4 linked regions of the Callithrix jacchus genome follow. The protein of the gene in region 4 binds, or shares a complex with, the protein of the main gene of each other region. Links are inferred from orthologs where the notes say so. Each region holds a gene or a part of one and is shown on either strand. Other genes may lie near its edges.

The links.
Region 1: TAF1B (region 4) and TAF1D share a complex: the UniProt entries of both Homo sapiens proteins name them as parts of the transcription factor SL1/TIF-IB complex. The link is inferred for Callithrix jacchus from reciprocal best matches to the Homo sapiens genes TAF1B and TAF1D.
Region 2: TAF1B (region 4) and POLR1H share a complex: the UniProt entries of both Homo sapiens proteins name them as parts of the pol I pre-initiation complex. The link is inferred for Callithrix jacchus from reciprocal best matches to the Homo sapiens genes TAF1B and POLR1H.
Region 3: TAF1B (region 4) and UBTF share a complex: the UniProt entries of both Homo sapiens proteins name them as parts of the pol I pre-initiation complex. The link is inferred for Callithrix jacchus from reciprocal best matches to the Homo sapiens genes TAF1B and UBTF.

Annotation. Positions count from the first base shown.
Region 1 is NC_133511.1:46,622,432-46,626,435, forward strand, and holds the start of TAF1D (TATA box-binding protein-associated factor RNA polymerase I subunit D), read left to right. Parts: upstream 1-1,204; 5' UTR 1,205-1,304; exon of another isoform or gene 1,305-1,415; intron 1,416-2,324; 5' UTR 2,325-2,429; intron 2,430-3,395; 5' UTR 3,396-3,420; coding exon 3,421-3,488; intron 3,489-4,004. UniProt on the Homo sapiens protein: Component of the transcription factor SL1/TIF-IB complex, which is involved in the assembly of the PIC (preinitiation complex) during RNA polymerase I-dependent transcription.
Region 2 is NC_133505.1:34,798,474-34,802,718, reverse strand, and holds the start of POLR1H (DNA-directed RNA polymerase I subunit RPA12), read right to left. Parts: upstream 2,801-4,245; 5' UTR 2,758-2,800; coding exon 2,687-2,757; exon of another isoform or gene 2,521-2,686; coding exon 2,366-2,520; exon of another isoform or gene 2,288-2,365; intron 2,129-2,287; coding exon 2,028-2,128; intron 1,822-2,027; coding exon 1,712-1,821; intron 1-1,711. UniProt on the Homo sapiens protein: Core component of RNA polymerase I (Pol I), a DNA-dependent RNA polymerase which synthesizes ribosomal RNA precursors using the four ribonucleoside triphosphates as substrates. Can mediate Pol I proofreading of the nascent RNA transcript.
Region 3 is NC_133506.1:71,070,974-71,074,920, forward strand, and holds the start of UBTF (nucleolar transcription factor 1), read right to left. Parts: upstream 2,801-3,947; 5' UTR 2,667-2,800; intron 2,299-2,666; exon of another isoform or gene 2,184-2,298; intron 1,940-2,183; 5' UTR 1,905-1,939; intron 955-1,904; exon of another isoform or gene 837-954; intron 572-836; exon of another isoform or gene 431-571; intron 1-430. UniProt on the Homo sapiens protein: Recognizes the ribosomal RNA gene promoter and activates transcription mediated by RNA polymerase I (Pol I) through cooperative interactions with the transcription factor SL1/TIF-IB complex.
Region 4 is NC_133515.1:105,121,621-105,125,120, forward strand, and holds part of TAF1B (TATA box-binding protein-associated factor RNA polymerase I subunit B), read right to left. Parts: intron 2,385-3,500; coding exon 2,287-2,384; intron 204-2,286; coding exon 108-203; intron 1-107. UniProt on the Homo sapiens protein: Component of RNA polymerase I core factor complex that acts as a GTF2B/TFIIB-like factor and plays a key role in multiple steps during transcription initiation such as pre-initiation complex (PIC) assembly and postpolymerase recruitment events in polymerase I (Pol I) transcription.

The DNA.
Region 1 (4,004 bases), on a different chromosome or scaffold from region 4:
ACCTGGGGAGGCGGGTTGCAGTGAACTGAGAGCCCGCCACTGCCCTCAAGCCTAGGCCACAGAGCTAGACTCTGTCTCAAAAAAAAGGGAAAGAAAGAAAGAGAGAGAGAGCGCGCGTGGGAGGGAGGGAGGAAGGGAGGGAAGGAGAAAAGGAAAGAAAGAAAGACAAAATGTGAAACATTTCAGTGATTCTGCATTGTGAGTTAAATGTTACAGCTAGGCTTGGTTGAGTACAGCAGTGAGTGACATGTCATACCAGTCCTGGAGCTTAGTCACGGCACAGACCCTGTGGATCAAATGCAGAGGACTCCCTAAGGGATTGGACTTTTTATACCTGGAATTGTCCAACTTATGGCACAAAGTAGGGTAAAGAGACCAGATTACTTTTAAGGCCCGTCCAATCCTAAAATGACGTGCACTGTAAATTAAGACTAGACAGCTCTAATGGCTTTACTGGTTTATCATAGGAAAAAAAGATTTGAAAGCAGAAAAATCAAACCAGTTCATTAAAATTACTTTGGGAGGGAAAAAAAACCCACGAAACTACTCAGGAACCGGTTTAGGAACTAGGGGTGAGCGGGAGCAGAAGGAACCTCAGGAAAAAGAAATCCTCTACTGGTCTCGTTTGTGACTTGTTAGCCAACTTCCGGGAGGCAGAAAGGGGAGGTCACGAAACAGGTGCAAAAGTGGGCGTGCTATGGAGTAACACTGGCGTCCAGCCCAAAAGTTACACACCTGGAGTCATGGTCAAAGGATGAGCCTTCCCAGTATTTTAACACACAAAGGTGTCTGAAGGCAAAAGCAGACCCAAACACGCACATATCCCACCCGCCACCCTCGCCACACACCCGGGACCAGGTTTAGAAAGCCAGGCGACAGCTCAGCAAATGCGAGCCACCGGAAACAAACCGGGCTTCTCGCAGTTCTTACCCACTCCTAATTGTCCTCATGTTTTCTTTTTGTTATTTGCCGAAATGTTCTTGGCTCTTCCACTCACCGAATCGGTCACGGAAACCCACAACAGAGCAGAGTCCTGATCTTCGCTTCGGCCAACCCCGCCTCCTCAGATAACGCGAGCTGAAGCTCCGCCTACGTTAGCCGCTCCTCCCCGCGCGGCGAGAAAAATGGCTATCCTGCTTCCTGTCCTCCTTCCGTCGCTCGCCTTCTTCCCGGGTGCTAAGTTGTATCGCGAGATTTCGGCCTCGCTATTACCTGGGCCGCGGGGATTGCTCACCCTTTTTTTCTGCGCGGTTGGAAGACGCAAGGTGGTTCTCGGGAGTTGGAGAACTGAGGTCGGGATATTGGTGAGTGCAGGTCTTCAGGACTCACGCAGCAGGCCAGTCGCGGGTTTTTGGCCAGAAGCCTGGGTTACAGTCACCAAGTGCGCAGTTAGGGCCGGCGTGAGGCGGTTTTGGGTAGGTAGACGTGGGCAAGGCCGTCCGGCCCTGGCAGCCGGGTGAGGCGTTACAGATATGGGTTTTTTCGGGGCCCCAGCGTTGGTCCGGAGGATCGAGTCTCGGAGGTAGGGCGGAGAGGGTGAAGGGTTCGCAGCTCAGGCCCCTCAGCGCCAAGCGGCTGGAGGCCCACACAAACGCAACTGTAGTGTGGGCGGCCTTCATTATATCTTGAGATGGAGGTGTTAAAATGTGTTGTGAACGAGTTTAACTTCCTTACGTGGTTTAAATGATTTAACCTTCATATATGGGAGACAGCCATTACTAGTGCCGGTTTCCTTGAGGTAAGGCGCTGCGGGGAGAGACGCGCTGGTGATAACGGTGATAGCTCCGGGTAAAGCGCCGCTCTCTGACCACGAGACCTCTTAGGAATCGCTAAATCCCGGCAGAGGCATCGACACCTAAGTAGGATGTGTTCCGAAAAACTTAGAGAAAGTGATTATTGAGCTAGCTTTCTTTTGATAATCCCTATTTAAAAAAAAAAAAAAGCAGGTATACCATTAATGCATGGGACCAAATTATTGAATTCGGTTTTTGAGCATTCGATACTTAATGACTTCGTAGAATCTTGTGCTTAAGAAACTAAAACTACAAGATGTTCTAACAGGAAATTACCACAGGGGTCCGTTGGGCATTTAAGAAATCTGAGCTCTTGGTGACCTTATCGTTTTCCTATATTTGAAATATTTTGCTAGTTTATCCTAGGATTTATATGTAGTGACTCATGTCGGGTCCTAAGAAACTACGGAATGAAACAAGAGAATGACTAAGGCTAAGACAGTAGTGAAATAAGTAGTTACCTTTATTGTTTATTTTTGTTGCCAAGCCTATTTTTTTCCCCCATTTTTTTTTTTTTTTTTTTTGAGATAGGGTCTTGCTCTGTCGTCCAGGCTGGAGTGCACTGGTGCAATCTCGGCTCACTGCAAAGCGATCCTCCGGCATGGCTGGGAGCACAGCCACAGGCCACCACACCAGGCCAGTATTTTAAGAATTTTTTTTTTTTATAGAGACAGGGGCTCCTTGTGTTGCTGAGGCCCACTACAAACAACCTCCATCTCCCAGGCTCAGGTAATCGACCTACCTCAATACCTCAGCCTCCTTATTGGGACCATAGGCGCGTACCATCAACATGGCTAATTTTTGTATTTTTTGTAGAGACTGGGTCTTGTTGGTCTTGAGCTCCTGGGTTCAAGTGATCCGCCCGCCTCGACTTCCCAAAGTGCTGGGTTACACAGGCATGAGCCATCCTGACCAGCCTGTTTTTCTTACAAGAAGGAATCGTTTTCTTTTTTTTGTATGTTGCCTTTTTTTTTTTTTGTATGTTGTATACTCTACTATGGAGATGAAGAGACAGAATTATGATAGTTTATCGAAAAAGGTTGAGAATTCAGAATTTGTCAGTTTCCACCAATAATGGCAAAGATACAGTATGACGAAATTAAGTTACTTAAATGAATCTAGGAATGAATGAGGAATCTTAGAATTTAAAATGGTCTATTGAATTTGATCAGGAGTTTAAAATGGTCTATTGAATGGAGATCGTTTTCCTGGTTTATTATATAGGGCACATTTTGCCTTAGCAATTCCCCTTCGATGTAGGAAAATGGCTTTTAATTGTACATTAATACTGTGTTGGTAATTATATGTTAATATGTGGCTAATGATAAAACTTCATATTGAAAGAGGCTTTTGTCCACCTTGTCTTTTTTGGAATCTTGTTTCATTGAATAGATTTAGAGGGTAAAAACTGAAAATCTGGAAATAGAATTTCTGGATTTTTTTTTTATATAGAAATTGATCTGAAGTGGATAAGCAGCTTAAGCCTGGTAAATGATTTTGTCCAAAATGAATGGCATAGTCTGACTGTGTTGAACATTATAGTAGATACCGTGTCAATATTTAGGGAAGCTTTGTCACATTTACTAAATTTCACAATTTCAGAAAACTTTAAAACAAAGAACAACTGATGGATAAATCAGGAATCGATTCTCTTGACTATGTGACATCTGATGCTATGGAACCTGCAAATCAAAGGTAAGTGGGTTTTTACTGGAGAACTGAGTAGATCCAGTCATATTTATTATATCTGAATTACTTTGAGAAACTAAATTATTATATATAATGAATGACAGTGAAGATAATTTTCGGGAATTGGGAAAGAAGGAAAACCAGATTTCACTGACCTTCCATGTTTATCTAGTTTATATAGATTGATATAATACTATTGCAAATAATTTTAATTTAAAAAATGAATATATTCTAATGGGACACATTCTTAGAGAAAAAGTTTATTCTTTGGGTCTCTTCTGGACTACATCATCCTGTTTTTGTATGGCAGGCTGTGTTTTTTTGTATTTTTTTTGTTTTTTATTTTCGTTTTATCTTTTTTTTTTTTTCATTTTTGGCAGGCTCTCTTTTACTCAGGCGTTTTTAGCAGTGAATCATACAGTCTTGGTTGAGCTCATACATTATCTTGAAAGATACATGATTTTTTTTTGAGATGGAGCTTCGTTCTTGTTACCCAGGCTGGAGTGCAATGGTGCGATCTCG
Region 2 (4,245 bases), on a different chromosome or scaffold from region 4:
AAAAAAAATCTTTTTTTTTTTTTTTTTTTGGTAAAATGACAACCAGCGATAGGAAAAAATACTCTTAAAAGATATATCTGACTGTGAATATTTTTAATCCATTGATGAGATGGTGAGAAAGTAAAGGCAAACTTCACACTGGTAAAAGTTATGCAAAACCAGAAATCCAGACAGTGAAAACTGAAGTCCCAATGAAACGTGACACTATGGTGCCCTTAATACTGTTATGACGGTCACTGAAAGCATAGGAAATGAGGGACAAAATGTAAAAGGTCTGATAGGAGATTCCCTGCATAAATTTGGGAACTGCAAAGAGCTGCCCTTTTTTGTAAAAGTGAACAAGAAAAGAAAAAATTCAACTCTATAGAAGGGGAATTTGTCTTAGTAGGCAGGAGAGAAAACTCTCTCCTGAGAATTTCTAACCATAAGCTAACCCTTACGTGGATTTGCAGCTCAAATTCATACTATCTGTCTGCTCCAAAAAACATGAAGCCAAGAATTTATTTAAAGTAATTCCAGCTTGATAGTGCTTCAAGGAAAAGAAATGCAAATGCTGAGAATACAGCACTCACTCAAGGTCTCAAAGAATTCCTACAGTTCAAGTTCTAAAAAACTCAAATTTATAGACAAAATCACAAAACAGAAAAAAGGCACCATGAGAGAGCAGAAACAAAAGACAGCAGCATCAGAAGACAAAATCCATGGATATCAGAATTATGAGACATAGACTATAATAACCATAATTAATATTTTAAATATATAAAGAATGAACAATTTAAAATATGATTAAGGAACTGAAAATTATTTAAAAATTGAGGAGATTTGAAAAGTAAATAGAATTCAAAGTAATAGCAATAATAAAAAATAATATTTAAAATAAACTGAAGACAGAATTAGTGACATGGAAGAGGGACCTGAAGAAATTACCCAGAAGGTGGCATAAAGAGAAAAGCGATTGAAATATGAAAAGAGGGTGAGAGAAATGGAGGACAAAAGAGACACCTCTCTTCTTGTAACTAATTAGAGGTCCAGAATGTGAGGACTGGGAACATGGGGGAAAGGCAATATTAAATGAGATGATAGCTGATAATTTTCCAAGGCTGATTAAAAAAAAAAAAAATTCACTCTCAGTTTCAGAAAGTGCAACAAATCCCAAACGGAATTTTTAAAAAATCACATTTTTATATACTGTAGTGACTGAAGGACACCAAAGACAAAGATGATGTCTTAAAATAATTCAGAAAGCCCATGTTCCCTAAATCGTGCGTGACTAATTTTCTCCAATGTAAAGCTACCTTGACTGCAGTTGAAGACTGCAGTATAAGATGCCGACCACTAAACAATACCTGCTTCTTATGTTTTTTGTTTGTTTGTTTTTTCATTTCCTTTTATATATCCTAAAAGTAGGTCAGACAGGGTAGCTCATGCCTGTAATCCCAGCCCTTTGGGAGGCTGAGGTGGGTGGATCGCTTGAGCTCAGGAGTTCAAGACCAGCCTGGGAAACACAGAGAAATCCCATCTCTACTAAAAAAAAAAGAAAAAAGTGTAATAAAAAAAATAAAAAAAAAAAACCAACCACAAATGTTCTTATTACCAGAACTGCACAGAAATGGGACGAAAGGAAATGGTGGTTTAGAACAACAACAACAGAATCACTGGATTTGTTTAGTTAGCAAACAGACTGAGCAGAGGGAGGGGAAGGGATGCCCACTTGCAGTTGGTACAGGTGTAGAAGACAGTTTGCCCTTCGTCTGCTGAACGCATCTGTCTGGTGTGGTAAGCCATTCCTTCATGACCACATCGAGAGCAGCGCCTGTCAACCTGGGAAGAAACCGGTGGGTTAGGGAGGCCAGTTCATATCCCCTCACTTCCCACAGGAATCAGGCGATCACTCCTCTCAAACATGGATGCTTTACATCTCTTTTCCCTCTTGGACTTGGGCACACAACTCTCCAGATCTCTGCAATCATTCCTCCGTTTCTTTCCTACCCACCTTATGGAGCCAGTCATTGAGCTCATTAACTTACCACAGGTCCCTGGAACTCAGGCCCTTCCTCCACCGACACAGGCATGGCTGTCCCCAGCTGGTGGAACACAACTGAAGTCTTCACAACCTTCCCCTCAAAGTCTGCACAGGCAAGTAAGAACTGGTTATGGAGACAACCAGAGGGAGCTGACACCGGAAACCTCCCCTTTCCCCTGACTGGTTAGGCCAGGAAGCCCTATATCCTTTCCTTCATTTTTCATCTCGAGACCAAATGTACAATTGCCTGATCTCCTGCTCTAGGGTCCCCTGCCGATCTTGAGGTCCCCAAGTTTCCGACCCTGGACCCTCCGCCAGGACCACTGCGTACAAGCCTCTCACCCCGAACGTTGATGTTGAAGCCACAGCGAGTACAGGTAACCGTATCCTGAGCCCCTGGCAGAGGCAGGACCGAGCCGCACTCTGAACAGAAATCCAAGTCCGACTGAAAGCTGGAGCAAGTGCTGGCTAGGTCCATGACGCATATGCGGTCAGGCCTGAAGAGGGAGTTAGAAGTTATATTAACAAAAAGAGAGGAATCCCCCCAACACAGAGGTCATAACAGTTCTGTCCCAGTACCTGGGAGTATATAACCCGAGCTCTCCTCCCACGCACGCCTCCTGCCTCTGTGACCAGGGAGCTGAAACGCCCGGAATGGCTTACCAGCTAGCGTCGGGTAGTAAAGGACTTGCAACCCTTTCCTGGGGCCGGCGAGAGGAGCGAGCCAACTCCATGGGCTAGAGCGGCAGCTCTACGCCCGCCGCTCAGCGGCGAGCTAGAGCCGGCTAGAGCGTCACGCATTCGGGCTGACAATTGGTTGTGACGTCATAAATAATTGCGAACCTTGTCTCGGGAGCCTTAGAGATGGAGCCTAACCTCTCCGAAGGGAGTTTGCGGCTTCACTTTCACCCTAGTGCTGAGACGTTGAGCACAAAATTCGTAGCCAATGCTGCGCTTCCAGCAAATTTTCCCACCAGTACCCAATCCTCGGATATTTATTCTTTGTCTCACATCCTACAGGAACCGAGTCCCGGGAGATATCCCCCTGAAAACTGTATTTTGCTGAATACTGATTTCTTTGGATTAGAGAACTACAACTATCCCTGATCCTGAGCAGGTTTTTCCCTTTTGCGGCTGCAGAGTAGTTAAAAAGAAAGCTAAGTGTTCTGGGACGTACAGTTTTAGTGTTCCTTGGGTCCCGCTGGAGAACGTGGGCTTTCAGCAGAGCGCAACTAGCCTTGTGTGCTTTGGGAACAGTTCGCCGCTTGTAAGGGGTAAGTCGGATTCTTGAGGGACCGCAAGTGGTGAGGGTGAAGTCAGGAGGTACAGGGTCCAGCCCTACAGGGTTCTGTGAGCCCCTCTCTGTTGGTGTGGAGAAAAGAAACCAGAAATAAAAGACATAAGACACAGAGATAGAAAGTTTGGGTGGGGTGGCGTGGGGTGGGGGGGGTTCACTGCCAGCCAGATCGCGGAGTCCGGCAGTGGCCCCGGTCGTGTCTGCGCATTCTGACTTTTTTTGAGTACAAAGCTGAGGGCAGGGTAAGTAGGTGTGGCATTGGTGGTTGGTGGTCAGCAACCAGGGGAAAGGTAGATGGGGCGTAGCAGTGATAGGGTCAAGTACATCACATATCATACAGGTACGGACCCAGGAATTTCTAGGAGCCGGGATGAGGCAAGGAGCCTAATGCGTTAGCACTTTTCCATACTTGTTAAGAAAGAACAAAGACATTAAGTTTATATTACTCTTACTGATTATCTCTTCTAAGAAAATAGGAACCTGGTACAGAAGTAGGACATGAGAGTGGACATGGAATGTGACCACTGAAGCACAGCATCACATAGAGACAAATAAGCCCCCGGATGCCTGTGGGTCTACCTGACAGCTGTCAGGCCTAAGGCAAGAGATTGGAGGAGTGGAGTTTTCGCTTAACTCCCCCGGTGAATGAGACGTCTCAGCCAGCTTTGGACGCCTCCTTCCCTAGCTGGCTCAACAGCGGGCATTTTCTCAGTGCTGACGCGGTAGCACAGCAGAGGCGGCCCTAGTCGCCCTTATGCAGGCATAGCTGCTGTAAAGCGTCTTGCTTTAGGGTCATTGCCCTCACAATGTCACCCCAGGTTCTCACTTTCCGGCCTGAGACCTGAGAGGCATTAGTAAAAGAATTAAGATCACCTATAAATAACTAAGATCACTTGTGAATAATTAAGCCATCACTATTTTCTCT
Region 3 (3,947 bases), on a different chromosome or scaffold from region 4:
GCCCACGCGAGAGCCTGCTCCCAGCTCCCGCGTGCAGCAAGCGCCCGCCCTCCGCCCTCCTTCCCCAACCCTGGCCAAAAAAAACTCCTCCTCCTCTGAGCGCCCGCCCCGGGGAGGCCCCAGGCTGGAGGGCGGGGGAGGAGGAAGGGCGGGTAAAGGGCGCGCGCGACCACGGAAGCGGGCACGCGCCCCAGTCTCCTCCTCTCGCCTCCCCCCGGCCGGTTCCCCCCGCCTCCGCAACCCGGCGGGGACCCGGACGCAGCGCAGCCGCCGCCAGCCCCGGAGCGCAACGGCCGCACCGCCCCCGGGGACCGGATTCGGATTCCCACCGCTCCCCCCTCCCGGGCTCCCATCGCCTTCCCCGCCCGCTCAGGCGGGCGAGCAGCTGGAGAGAAGCGGCCTAGCCTGCCCCCCGCCCCGAGCCACCTACCCCGGCCAGAGGCGCCGCCGCCGCCCAGCCACCCCGACTCGCACGGAGGAGCCCGGCGCAGAGGCGCGACCGCGGCGGGAACCGCCGCCTCCTCCCCCGAGCCTGCGGCCCAGCCCCGCCGGCGCCCCCGCCCTGGCCTCCGGGGAGCCGAGCCAAGCAGAGGGCGGGAGGACGGCGGCCGGGAGGCGGGGGCGCAGCGCTCACCGGCCCCGCCGCCCCCTCCGGCGGCCGGGGAGAACTGCGCCTGCCGGCTCCGAGAAGCGCGGGCTCCTCCGCCAGCGGCCAGGTCTCGGCTCGGGCCACGCTTCCTGCCCTCCCCTCCCCCGGCTTTCGGCGTCCTCCCCAGTGCCCTGGTCTGCTCGCGCCCGGTCCCCTGCTCCGGTTCCCAGCCGGGCGCCCACCGCACCCTGCGGTTCGCTCCCTGCCGTCAGGCCCCGACCCTAGCGCGCGTCCTCAGCCGCCTCGGTTACCCGGCGCAGAGCGGCCTCCGGGCTTCCCGCTCCGGCGGCTCCCTCCCCGGCTCTGAGCGGCGGCGCCCTCCCCCGCTCGGCCGGGCACAGCCGCAGCTCCCTCCCGCGGCGGCAGCGGCTCCTCCTCCGGGCGAGGCGGCGGCGCTGGGGCGGCGGCTGCTGCTGCTGTGGCTGTGGCGGCGGCTGTGGCTGCTGCCTGCTGCTCCTCGCGGCGAAAAGCACAAAGCACAGCGCCCTCCGCCTGCAGGCAGCCCGCCCGCCGCCGGCCCCGGCCTCAGCTCGCACACCCCCCGCCGCCGCCGCAGCCTCAGCCGCCGGAGCGGGGAGGAGGAGGGAGAAGGGAGGAGGAGGAGCGGGAGGGGGGGCGGGAGAAGCGGGGCAGCGAGCGCGTCCTTCCCCGTAGAGCGCACACCGACCCCCGGGGAGCGAGCGCCAGCCCGCCCGCCTCGCCGGCTCCGCTCCCTCCCACAGCCTGCCCGGGCGGGCTCCGCGGGGGGCAGCTGGGAGGAGGGGCGGGAGCTGGGGGGACCCGGGCGGCCGAGGCGGAGGGAAGGAAGGAGGGGAGGGGGGTGGTGGTGGTGGTGGCGGCGGCGGCGGCGGCGGCTGCTGCTGCTGCCGCCGGGCGGGGGGGGGGGCCGGGGCAGGGAGACACGCAGCCGCCCGGATGGCGGCGGAGCTCGGAGCCGGGGCGGGCGGGCGCCGAGAGCGACCTCGCCAGACCCGCGGGGGAACTAACAGGCTCCTCCGGCACTAGAGGGAGGGCCGAGGTGCGGCGGCGGAGAGGGTGCCCAAAGGGGCCCCCGGCGGCTGGAGAGGCTCGGGGGGCGCCCACAGCTCTGCTCCGGAGCTCTCCCCCAAGTCCTCCCAGCTCAGACTAGGGCTTCCAGGCCAGCTTTTTCCCGCCTCCCGGAGCGAGCGGTCCGCGCACACCCTCATCCCCCAGAGCGTGGTCACTGGCTTGGGGCGCACGCACGCCGATCGCGGCGCCCGGCTTCAGTGCCTACCTTGCGGTCCTCACTGCCGAACGGCACATACGAAACTTAAAAAAAAAAAAAAACAAAAAACTAAAACCTCTGCATTAAAAAAAAAAAAAATCCCCATTGCTCTTTACACCCCGGAAACGGCGAAGGAACGACGGGCTTCGGCGGAGAAGCCGCTCTGGGAGCCGGTTCAATCCAGCCCGGCATGGCTCCCCAGGCCTGCCCGGGCGCATGGAGATCGGCGCCACCGCCACTCGTAGCGACCCCTCTCCCCCGAAATCCGCGGCGCCCGGGCTCACTTACCGAGCGTGTGGATGGGAGCGCGGGCTGGGGGCACCTGGGGGCGCGGCGGTCCGAATAGCCGAGCCGCAGCTCCGCTGCAGCCGACGCCGGGGCAGCAAGTCGCCAGACAAAGCCCGAGATGGCGAAGCGGAGCGACGGCTAATGGCGAGCCCCACGCGCCGCGCTCCGCCCGCCCCGCTCCGCCCGCCCGCCCGCCCGCCTCGGCGCAGCGCAGCGCCGCTCCAAGCGCTTGCCCGTCAGAGCCGCCTCGGCGCCGCCGCCTCCCGGGCCACGGCGGCCTCGCCTGGCCCCTCCGCCTCCTCCGGGCTGCTCAGCCTCACCCCTTCCCTCCCACTGCTCTAGGGGTTGCACAGAAAATTTTTTTTTTTTTTTTTTAAGAAAAATGCTTTTTTTCCTTTCCTTTTTTTTTTTTTTTTTTTTTTCTTTTTTGCAGGGCGGGCGTGTTGAGACTTTTGGATCTTTCTGCCCCCAGCTCGCACTCACCTGCGGAGCCGCCGGGAGGGCTAGTAGTGGGGGGCGCACGGAGCTGGAGCCGGCGAGCGCGGCTTGAAAGCCAGCCAAGCTCTGCAGCGCCCGACCCGGGCGTGTACGCCGCCGCCAGTCCCCGCAGAGAAATCGTCCTCCTACCCCCGCCTCCATCGCTCTGCGTTTCTCTTCCAATCAGCCGGTCGCTTGGTGGCTCCTCCATTCTCCGGCCAAGCCCAGCTGCCTAGAGCGAGCTCCACTCCTCCATCTGTTCGCCCGGCTCCTCGCTCCCCTGCCGGGGCTGGCGAGACGGCTTGAGGCCGGAGGGGGATTTGCGAGAAAACCTGCCTCCTTCCCGCTCCCATTGCTCCATCCCCGCTGCTTCCTGCCTCCTGCTTCTCTCTCCTGCGTCTTTCCAACTCTCTCCCATGTCGCCACTGGTGTGTGTCTGAGTGTGTGCGCGTTTTTTTTTTTTTTATTGCTCTTTGCTTTTGCAACCCAGAAGCAAAATGGGGCGGGGGGGGGAGTTACAGGAAAAAAAAAGCGAGAAAGAAGCTCTTAGATTTGCAACACATCGGAAAACCATGGGAGCACCCGGCCTTATCCGATCTCCGTGCTCCGCGAGGGCCTTCCGGGTTTTAGGACGAGCTTCTCAATGTTCCCCTCTTCGCTGGGTTTAGGATCCGAGGAGTCCGAGCAAAAAGTTCTCTCCTTAGCTCGTAGTGAGGGGTGTCAGGGTGGGAGTTTCGGGATTTTTCAAGAAGCAGCGGCTATCCTTGCTACCCCGGCATCGGCCACTGGGCCGGGGTGGGGGAAAGAGCAAAATCCCAGTGGGTTTGTGCGAGGAATCTTCTGGGGTTGGGGCGTGGAGTAGTCGGAACCGGGAGAGACACCGCTTCGCGAATCTCCCCCTCGGTCTCTACCTCCTGTCCTCTGCCAGCTCCCCCTTTAATTTTTTTCCTCTCCTTTAATCTAATTTCTTCCAACTCCACCTTTGTTGTTACCGGCGTCACGCCCCGACCAGCCAATCCCCGCCACGCAATCAGTTTGTCAAAAAGGTTCGGCCAGCCCTGGGAAAGCAGGCCGCAGGCGCTGCCCCCCGGCGGCGGCGGGCAGCCGCGAGGGGAGCTCGGCACCCCGGCCTCACTGCCCGGGCGGCAGCGGGGCAACCGCCACCGAGACTTCCCCCGGTTCACTATCCTGCAGGCGGGTGATGAAAAGCCTGGACGGGGTCCACCGCCCACCCTTGCACTGCCATGGCCGTGGTTGTCTGTCTTTGCCTCCCCTTCTCAGAGGAAA
Region 4 (3,500 bases):
TGACAAGGATCATAATCCCAGATACTCAAACTGGTCGTGGACCCATCTTCATCTCTACATCTCACTAGACATGTCTTTTAGTCCAACTTTTCTGACGTGTGACTTACCGTAGGTTTCCTTCCAGTGGTATAAACTGGGTTCTTACAATATGCCTGCTTGCTCTTCTGAAGGTAGCGCTTCCAAAAATTATGTAAAACGTCATTCTAAGGTGGAAGGGAAATGAGTGGTGGGTGATTCAGGTTATGACGACAAATGTGCAGGCATATCTATACCACAGTTCTCTTGTACTTTACACATTAATGTACATATCAATTTCCAGGAAATGTTATATACCATATTTACAATTTGAGAACAAAATCTTCGGTGTCTATACATAGCATCTATCAAAACCTGAGTCCCATAAAATGCACATTGGGGACTGATATGTTAAACCAGTGGTTCTCGAGCTTGAGTGTGTGTCAGAATCACCTGGAGGGCTGGTTCAGGCTTCCATCTAAATGTCTTCCTACCTGCTTTTCCTTAAAAAGAATTATAGTAGGCCAGGAGCAGTGGCTCACGCCTGTAATCCTTTCGGAGGCCAAGGCAGGCAGATCACAAGGTCTGAAGATTGAGACCATCCTGGCCAACATGGTGAACCCTGTCTCAACTAAAATACAAAAAATTAGTCAGGCATAGTGGTGCACACCTGTAGTCCCAGCTACTCAGGAGGCTGAGGCAGGGGAATCGCTTGAACCAGGAGGCAGAGATTGCAGTGAGCCAAGATCGCATTACTGCACTCCAGCCTGGGACAGAGCAAGACTCCATCTCACAAAAAAAAAAAAAAAAAAAAAAAAAAAAGAATTATACTATCATCATAGTATCAGGTACCTGAGAAACACAGAAAAAAATCCTTCTTAATTTTAGATTTTAGAGAAGGAAAGAGCATGAAAATCACCTAGCTGAGTCCTTTTCTTTTGCATATTAAGTAAATTAAGGATCAGAGTGGTTGTTCTGTTTTGGCTTGCCCCAACCACCGGTTTGAACAGCAAAGGCTCCTTCCTCTACGAATATTTCCTTGGTGACTGCAGACCACATTGATCTTTCTCTGTTCTCTTTTTGCCTTTAATATCACTTATGAGTAATATCACTTATAAGTGAGGTGGTGGCTCATACCTGTAATCCTAGCACTTTGGGAGGCCGAAGCAGGCAGACTGCCTAAACTCAGGAGTTTAAGACCAGCCTGGGTAACATGGTGAAACCCTGTCTCTACTAAAATACAAAAAATTAGCAGGGCGTAGTGGCATAAGCCTATAGTCCCCAGCTACTCAGGAGGCTGAGGCAGGAGAACTGCTCGAACGTGGGAGGCGGAGGTTGCAGTGAACCAAGATCATGCCACTGCACTCCAGTCTAGGTGACAAAGCAAGACTCCATATCTTAAAAAAAATCACTTGTGTATATCACCATATAAATTCATGTCTACTCATTTCACATATGCATAAATCCCTCTCCCCAACTAGGCTGGATATCTCAACAGTTGGTTTCCAATGAAGAATACGAAGCAAGTGAACAACTTGTTGCTAAAAAACTGGCTTTTTAAAGCATTCCCGAAATGGCTTGTACTAGATGAAGGAATATGAAATTCAAGTAACTACAGAAATACTATGTTGCTCCAGGGAGGCAGCAAAGTCAAAGTGTGGTTGGTCCCTGCACTGGAAGCATCGGTGTCCCTTGAGAACTCATTAGAAATGCACATTCTTAGGCCCTACTTCTGACCTACTAACTTAGAAATTCTGGGGCTAAGGTCCAGTGACTGGTGCTTTATGAAGCCCCCCAGGTGATTGTGAGCACACTCAGGTGAACCACTGGTTTAACATATCACTGTCCAAAGCACGTTCTCTGGAACTCGAGTCCTGACAGACATTATGTACATACACCAAACAATTTTGTTCTCAAATTGTGAACACCACACAGGACGTTCCCTGGAAATTAAACAAGCACATTAACACAAAAAAGGCACTAATAAACCCCCAAAGTTATTTGAGTTTTACTTTATTTAACCTGTTGTTTCCCAAGTACCTGAAGACTAAAACCTTTACATTTTTCTTTCAGATGAACTGCTTATTTACATCCTGTAGAACACACTTCCAGAATTGCTGGCCTACTGAAAGGATTAAAGCAAAAACATCAGAAAAAGTATTCTTCCAGCAGCCCTAGTATTATTACTGATTTCTCCTTCGTTCCACTCTAAATCTTACTGTTCTTTAAGAATAGTATGTAAAATTAGCATCGAGTCACAAATGTATTTACCTTTAACTCTGGGCCTACTCCAAGGTTCTTTAAGGCTTCTGCTTGTTGATAAAGAATGTGCTGGAAACCTTCACACACATACCAATCCCAGCCTTTTTCTAAATGACAAATAGCACATTTTAGCATTTGCAATCCTAATTTACTAAGTCTAATGCTACTACAGTTACAATTTGTGTTTTACACATTATGACTTGAATTTTTCCTTTTTTTTTAAATTAACCCACAACTTAGCAGCTTAGTGACTTGAAATTTTTGTACCATTGAAAAAGGTTTCCATTCTTATAGTCTCTTGTTTACAACCTAGCAAATGTGTAACCAAATGTTGAAACTAAATATTTTATATAATTTCAGATTTCAAATGTTTTCCATTATATATATTTTTTCTGAAATACTAACCTAAAGGTAAAAAAATGAATAGTCACCATGTTAAAAAAAGTGAAACAAGTTTTAAAAATGTGTATTTTCCTGAACGATGCCCAGCAAAATCCTAAATAAAAATACTCAGTCACCGCTTCCACTACTTTTCTGTTGCATCTCACAAGGGAAGAGTGAACTTGTAATGAATGAATGAATGAATGTCAAGATCTCATGATACAGGAGTGTAGAAATGACAATAAGAACGTTCAAAGAAAATAAACTGCTCAGTGGCATTTTGCTTTTTCTGAAATGGTTCTAGGTTATAAGGAGAAAATTAAAGCAAGGTACTAATACTGATCTCAGCCCAGTGCCAAGTGTATGCTGGGTATTTCAAGTGGGTTATTTTCTTGAATACTCAAAAGCACCCTAGGAGAGATTGTGAAGAAACCTGCCACCACAACAGACAGGGTTACATGTTTAACGACAACTACCAGCTGAAGGAAAAGTCTGTGAAGACCCTTATGTTTTACCCCTCACCACTGGAAAAATACTGTAACTCTTCCAAAAGCTTGTTATCAGTCCTTTTTACATGGAGCTTCTGAGGTCTGTTACTGACTTCAAGATTTCTTCTCTGCAGAATGCCAGAGGATTCAACTCTTCTCCCTTACCTGAATGTCACAAAGTCTCCCCATCCCTGCTGAATGACCCAATTCTTTCCCAAGAAGGGTCTCAGGTTGTAAGAGTCTAATAGAAAAGCCAATAATTTTGATGGGTATATAAGTAAAGGAGGTTTAAACTCTTCAAGCTATATGCATATACTCCCTCTTCTTCTTGCATACTGTTCTTAGAAACTGATA